Linked DNA regions of Oryzias latipes. The protein of the gene in region 2 interacts with the protein of the main gene of each other region in a pairwise test. Links are inferred from orthologs where the notes say so. Each region holds a gene or a part of one and is shown on either strand. Other genes may lie near its edges.

The links. The genes of interacting proteins can lie anywhere in the genome.
Region 1: the proteins of coiled-coil domain-containing protein 158 (region 2) and gpsm1 interact in a two-hybrid assay, tested with the Homo sapiens proteins (2 studies listed by BioGRID and IntAct). The link is inferred for Oryzias latipes from reciprocal best matches to the Homo sapiens genes CCDC158 and GPSM1.

Annotation. Positions count from the first base shown.
Region 1 is NC_019870.2:10,829,177-10,832,833, reverse strand, and holds part of gpsm1 (G-protein-signaling modulator 1), read right to left. Parts: intron 3,115-3,657; coding exon 3,044-3,114; intron 2,965-3,043; coding exon 2,794-2,964; intron 1-2,793. UniProt on the Homo sapiens protein: Guanine nucleotide dissociation inhibitor (GDI) which functions as a receptor-independent activator of heterotrimeric G-protein signaling.
Region 2 is NC_019867.2:1,915,681-1,919,437, forward strand, and holds the start of coiled-coil domain-containing protein 158, read right to left. Parts: upstream 2,662-3,757; 5' UTR 2,429-2,661; coding exon 2,341-2,428; intron 2,273-2,340; coding exon 2,215-2,272; intron 1,715-2,214; coding exon 1,584-1,714; intron 1,368-1,583; coding exon 1,219-1,367; intron 270-1,218; coding exon 151-269; intron 83-150; coding exon 1-82. Other genes in the region: cyclin-G2, read left to right, coding at 3,383-3,721.

The DNA of each region.
Region 1 (3,657 bases), on a different chromosome or scaffold from region 2:
ACTTCTTTTTTAAATCACTCTTACTCATTTTCATAAACAATTAAAAAAAAGTTTATTTTGTATTTGTTTATGGTATTAAATGTACAAAAGTAAAAATTATTTTTTCTTTTCTTTTACTGTAAGCACAAAATCAGTTTACAGGAAAATATTACAATAAAATAATTCAACCTAAATCTCGGTCAATAAAAGGATTTCTTTGTTATAAAATCTGCATCATATTTACTTTTGCGTGTCTTTGCATCACCAGATTATCAAACTGGCCACACAACTAGATTCAAAACAGCATTAAAAAGACTTTCTGTAGATATTGAGTCCAACAGTGGTTGGAGTTCATTCTGACACCTAAAGCAGGCTGAGGGCCTGACGGCAAAACAGCTGCTTCACTAACCGAAAGCAGTGTCTGGATAATTATGAGCAGAAAAATAAATAATAAGTTATTGGTTTAGGAATTACTTTTCAAATCTTCTGTCCGTATTCCGACATTCAGGAAGTTGAACCTTATTGCAATTGCTTTCTTTTTTTTGGACAAAAACAGTTCCGAGATGATGAAAAAACAAAGAAAAGACTAACAATCCTTCCTGTCAACAAGCTGATCAACCTTCTGCATATGTTTATTTACATTTATCCTCACGTATGCCAAAATATCACCAAGCCAGAAATAGATTTGATCGGTTTTTGATGGGCAGATGAAGTATTTGTCAGTCAGAAAAGAATTTTAGATTAAATTTAGGTCAAGAAAGTTTATAAAGTAAACAATCTGTTGAGTACAAAAAGCTGAGGATAAAGCAATGAAATCTTTTACCACGTGTCTGTTTTAGTCCGAAATTGTGAAGAAAAGTTCTTACCAGCAGAAAGAGCGCCTTCTATTTCTCATTTGTCTCTGAGCTGCTCTTTCTCTGTCTACATCGCCTCCCTCTCTCCTCCTTACTGACCAACTAATCGCGCTCCCTGCTTCCCCTCTCCTGCTGTAACATGTGCACCTCCCATCCCTCCTGTTAAGCTCCTCTTCACCCTCTCCCTCCCTCTGTATCTCTCCCTCTTCCTCTCTCGGCGGCGCTCTGGCAGGCCATTTTTGTCCTGTTCACCCACTGTGGGAAAACAACTCATTATGGGAAGATGGGCGTTTGACCCTGTGGGGAGGGTAGTCGTTCTGTGATCAAGGTCACATTATCAGCTGGGAGGGAGAGCTGGGGGTAGACGGAGGAGGGGAGAGAGGAAAAAGCATGGTTGCAAGGGCAGCTGGGAGTACATATGCTTCCTAACAGCTAACGCAGCAGCAGAGATCAACTGACAAAAAGCACTTATTTCTGCACTTTAATAATTGTGATCAGGCAGGAGTTGCAGCCATTGCTGTCCGCCGTCCTTGGCCTCAATGGCGGTTTTGTGGATCTCGCCGCTGCTCTGCCTGAAAAGTCTAATTAATCAAGTAGGAAAATGTGACAGCACGAGAGAAAGGATCATGTGATGATGAGGAGGTCGCGAAGAGGGGGATGGAGAGTGAAAGTAAAGAAAGTAAGTGGTTTGAAACAAAGGACAACTGTAGGAAAAGAAGCAGTGCAGACTAAAAAAAAAAAAAAGTTCCAGCACTATTTTCCCAGCTTTATAAGCATTACAACTTTTCTTTTCTTTTTTTAGTCCAGAGAGCCCACATTTTCAAAAAGAGGAAAAAGTGACTTCAATTTTTGTGTGCGACAATACTGAAGCTTTTAAGGGATTTAAAACCAGCTATTAGGTCTAATCCCAGTATTTTTCAAACATGATTAATCGAGCTGCATCAAAGACGTCATATCTGGATTATCCCTGATGCTTTTGAATTTCACATAAATATTTAGCAAGGTTTTAGTTGTATCACCAATAAAAACATAAAATATGGAGGCCTGCTTTCTTTATCTGGTAGGATTAATTGCTGTAAGGCTGTTTTCCTCCTGTCAGCCTGCTAATTACAACACTTACAGAAGTCACATGGTCTCATAATAAGATGTTGCTGGTATTTATATCCACTCAGATGTGAGCTTGAAAAAATGTCAGCAATCATGGGAATAATCGAGGAAATGCCTTTAGAATTCAGCTCACCGGATGTTTTTGTCAGCAGAGCTTTGATTCAAATATTTTAAAGGTTTATTGTCCGGATGTTCATTCCATTGACTTTAGATAAAAACTGGACTGAGTGACCCCTCCTCCCTCGTGTTCCAAACAGGAACAATTTTCATGATATTTTTTCTGTATTGCAAGTTATTTAAGTTATAAACTGGCTAATCAGATGCCTCAATAAAAGCATGGGGTCTCAAGTCAAACGTTTGTAACGTTAAACAGATTTTCCTAAGCTCGCTTTCGAGTGGTAGGAGTGTGAACTTCCAACAGGCTCACACCTGATTGTTGAGAGGGGTTGCTATGGAAATGATGAGTCAGATCGACTCAGACCTCTCTCCTTACTCACGCTGTCTGGTTCCAACACGCACCGTCCGAATCGTGAAAAAATGGCGGCTGTAATTGCTTCATTTTGATGAAGAAAGTCATTTTCTATGGGTGACCTTATGCCCAGTTAGTCCAGTTCTCATTTAAAGTCAATGGTTCCCTCCAGTGGAGTAAAGTTAAACGAAACTCTTCATCTGACAAAGCGGCAAAGCCAACGCTGATGCTACATTATGAGGAGAACAATGAAAAGCTTTAGAGGTAAACATTTCTTTCATTGTTACCAAAACTAAACAGATTTAGTTTTTGTGGCGACCATCTGGACATCATATGGAAATGATAGTTAAAGCACCACGACAAAAAGACGCAGAAACATCTTACAGTTACAGGAGGCGGGACTAGGACTGTGATGTCATCTGCATCTACGGGAGAGTCCAACCACGGCCTTTCGTCTGACCCCTGACTGTCCGAACAGCCTTTTCTTTTAACGGACTGCCATGGCTGACCCTTGGATCTTCTCGGCGCACCTTCTAAGTTTTGGCAATTACCATTCTGCAGTAACAGAATTAGTCAGCGAAAGACTGATAGGCATCGTTCTGCAGAGTACCAACATTTTAGACTCGTGTATCACCTTATCTGAAGAGTACTTCCACAGTTCCACACTGTCCGTGCTGTTTTTCATGGTGCTTTTGGGTCTTGCACCTGCAGAAAAACACAGAAAAATAAGCTCTAAAAACACAGTTCATACAGTTCAGGCTTAAATCTGTTATTTGATAAGTCCATTTATCTTTCCTGGCTTCCCAATGGTGCTGATTGACCTATGATATTCTGTGGTGATATGAGGAGACAAGCAGGCAAACTGAATAAGCATCTGTTTGCCAGCTCTGCTCTAAAGAAAGATATCAGCGATGTGGGTGTGTGTATTCGCCCAAAGGAGGATTATTCTTTTAAAGATCATAGAAGGGTAAAACACTCTGCAGACAGACCAGCTTCTCTTTGCTTCCTTATATAAGACGAGTTTGTGGTTCATTTGCCCGCCATTTCAAAAATGATAGAACAAAAAAATTCTTTGTGTTATTTAGCCTCAGGATGGACAGAATACAAACACTTTCTCAACTTATATTAAATATTCGCTTGTTATGTTTCAATTTTATTTTGAGATGAAGGATTGTAAAAAACAAACTCCAAAAATCTTGTTCAAAATTACCCATGAAGAGTTAAAACTTTCTCTAAACCTACTACCAA
Region 2 (3,757 bases):
AGATCTTTTGATGCTCTGAACGTCTTCCAGCATCTGGAGCATCTGTTCCATTTGGTCGACGTTTTTCCTGGAATCCTTCAATCTAAAAGTGACAAACTGCGTTTAACGTCACGGACCTGACTTATGGACAGAAGAGCCATCCGTGCTAACCTGAGGTCAGACAGCAAATCCTTTTCCATCTGAGCTTCATGAGGCTTTTCCTGCAGGTTCGTGATTTCTCTGTGAGAAAGACTTCTGCTTGTTTTTCCCACTTGAAGTGAAACAGAAAACTATGGGAAAAGACAGAATTCAGAAAACTGTTGATGACATTTATTTCTGTCAGACCTGGAATGAAGGACCAGACTATTGCCACACTTCTTCTTCTTCTGTCTTCCTGCGCCTTTGAGCAAAAATGGACGCTCACCTAGTAAACGTTTCTGACACCGTGAAACACCCAAGGAAAAAAAGAAAATAAGCGATGACATCACGGTGCGAGAAACTGTCAAAGAAACAAACTCAAAAAATAGCTCAAAACCCACAAATGAAACCAAAACACACACAAGTCGGAGATATCCGAAGACAGCTTTCAAACTATTATGGGATGGCCAGGGGACTTTTGTCTTGGTGGTCATTTTAGGTGAAATTTGGTGACCTTCACATTTTTTTCCACAATATAGGAAAAGGAACATTTTTGTTTGAGCAATCTTCACAAAATTTTACCCACGTCACCAGACGAAGTCCACAACCACAACCCAAGTTTGTTGACCTTTGACCTCAGGAAGAGGCCACCATCTGGAATTTTCAAAATAAAATAAAAATCACCTTTAGTACCTTCTATAAACGTAAACTCCTCCATGGGATTTTGATCCTATGGTCTCCTAACTCTTTGAGGATCACTGAGAAGATATTTGGGGATCTTTGCAGATTTTTGAACGTGGTTAGTGTGGCGACCTCGTAAAAGTGGCGCTCGCCTTTTGCTCGGATATTTTTTTACTGGAATATTGTGAAAATATGTTACAAAAATTCCTGGATCAAGCTGAAAGAAACAGTATAAACATAAAATATGAAAATATTAGGAACGTGGGCGGGGTTAACAAAAAACCTCTGTTGCCAAGGAAACCCAAAAGTTTACTTTTGCCGATTGTCCTAAAAATGACATCGACCTGTTTGTCACCCGCAGGCAACCAAAACAGAAATTAGTTGCTATGGAGACAAAACTAAACTAAACTAAATATGGACCTTGTTGAAATCAGAAAACTGTTGAAGACGCTCGTCCACTGGATCCATTCTGAAGGAGCCTCCTTCTTTGAGGGGCCCCTCCTGGTTCCAAGGAGGAGTCAGAGGCTCCTGAAGGGCTGAAAGACTGCCTGAAGCTTCAGATGAGTCGTCTGCCAAAAGAGCAAAAAGCTTTAAAAAGATATTGTTTCTGTGAGAAAGGTTGGTGCAAAAAGCTACAAGGAAGCTTCTGTATTTCCACAAAAATGTGAATTAGCAGACATTTTTACTGCAAATAATACATTTTTCTGGCTGTAACAGAACTTATGGACGGTATTTTTTTCTTTAACTATAGTCAGCGCATCTGTTTTATCATGACTAGCACTAACCATGGCAGACAGTCTGTGCAGGCGAGCATTTTCTGTAAGTGCAGCCGAACTTCTCCAAGGCCTCCCTGGTTTCTGTTTCCACCTCCTCCTGGAGTCTCCGAGTTTCCTTTGTGCGTCTGTCAAGCTCCTCACTACAAAAACACAAGTTTGTGCAGCTGTCATTCTTTAAAGTTTTTTTTTTTTCTGCAAAGGTCGAGCATTAGGTCCACTCTGCCATCTGAAAGCCACAGCGTGTATTTGCTGACATGTCTTCAGAGTTCAGTAGCTGCTTTACAAGCCAGCAACCAACTCCTGGAACTCCTGGACCGGTTGGTACTGGAAATCCAAGTCTCTGCGTTCTCCATATGAAAGTCTTGAGCTAACCTGTAGGCCACATGCAGTTTGGAGGTCTGAACTGCACAAATGACGGGGTTTGGTCACCAATACCTGGTGTAAGTGTGCACCCAAACTCTTCCACTTAGTTATATTATTACTGCCTGTGATAACATAAGGTAGATATTTTTCCACAGGACTTCTTGCACAAACAGCATTTTAAGTATTGGATGTAATACATTGGCAAATAATCCTCTAATTATAAAAGAACATTCAAGGAGAATGATTTTTTCCATGGCTTAAAAAATGTTGTTTTTACCTCAGTTCATCCAGAGTCAGACTGTTGAATCCCAGCCCAAGAGATGCGCTCTGGGTTCCTGTGGAAAAGAGCTCTTCGGGTTAGCAAAGGATCATGGGAAAAACGTCATAACGTCTCTACACTTACCAACTTTAGCTCGTGTTTCCTCTTTCGGGTGAAAGTCAGAAAGAGAAAAGTCCGGTGCCAGGTCCAAACCCTGATCTCCGGATGACATATTCTCTGCTTAAAATTTGACGCCAAAACCGGAAACACGAGCAAAAAAACCCCAGATTTAGCGAACAAGCCTAGCTAAAACGGGTTCCGTCACCATGGAAACAACATCCGCCCTTAGCTTTAGAAACCTGACCTTTACTTTTTCACCGGTCAACATTTCAGATGTTTTAAAGCTAAGCAAATGTGCTCAAGAGTTTAGTTTGTTTGTAACTCGCCTGTGAAAGTGACGCCGCTTCAGCTCAGAGTTTGAAAAGGACGCCAAAACTACTGACAGGCACCCGTGACGCTAGTGCGTCGCGCCCAAAGCATTGCATGATGGGTAACAGAGTTTATGTGATTCGGGTAGAGGGCGGGTGAAATTCCGTTCTCTCGGGGTGTCGCGCCCCGGTGGCCCCGTCGACCGTCTTGTTTTGTTTGTTTGTTTGTGTAAACACGTCGACGTAAAGATGATTTAATGATGTTCGGAACCTTTTCGAGGCGGTTCGGGTGTTTCACACGACGGAAGCGTCTCGGCGAGGTAAACCGAGAGGAGCGGATCTGTCTGTCCACTGAGGCTAGCATGCTAGCTAGCTAGCTAAGCCAGGACACATACCTGTCTGTCTGGGCTTCACATTGATTCTATTTCTACATTACATTGTTAATGCAAAGAACCTTTTCGAAACAACGTCATCAATTATGAAGCTTCGGAGAATTTAGTCTTTAAGCTAAAGGATAAAAAATTTCTGACTGGAGTCACATTTTCTTTCTTGCATATTTTCCACACACGTCAGTTTTTGTCTGGAAACCAGCATCATGTCTGCATACATACATGTGTTTACAGTCTGAGGTCAGCTGGTGATTGACCCCTACCCAGCTTGGACTCAAACGGTCACGTGGGCTCATCTCCTCAGCCTATAAGAATCATTTTTTGGTGACATTTCTCGTTGTTTTTCTTTGTGTGTGGCTGTTCTCCAGGATGAGGGATCTTCCTGGCATTGACAGTTTGCTCTTAAAAAAGCTGAAGGTATGTTGTGCCAAAGAGGACAGCGTTCTCCCCAGAGAGACGGGCCTGAAGCTGATGGAGTCCACTCCTGCAGAGGTGACCTACTTTTGCTTCACGTCTTTCTCTATTTCTTGCAGTGGTATAAATATGTTTCCATGTCCCCTCCGCCCAAAGAACTCCAGTGGGGTGTCTGCAAAGTGCCGGGACAGCCGGGTGGAGGAACTGTGGGGCCTGACCACTTTCTTTGGCTACAGCACCCAAACCTTTGTCCAAGCTGTCAATTTGCTTGACAGATTTCTCACCTTGATGAAGGTAACAAAACCTCTGGCAGTCTGTAACTCTGTGACT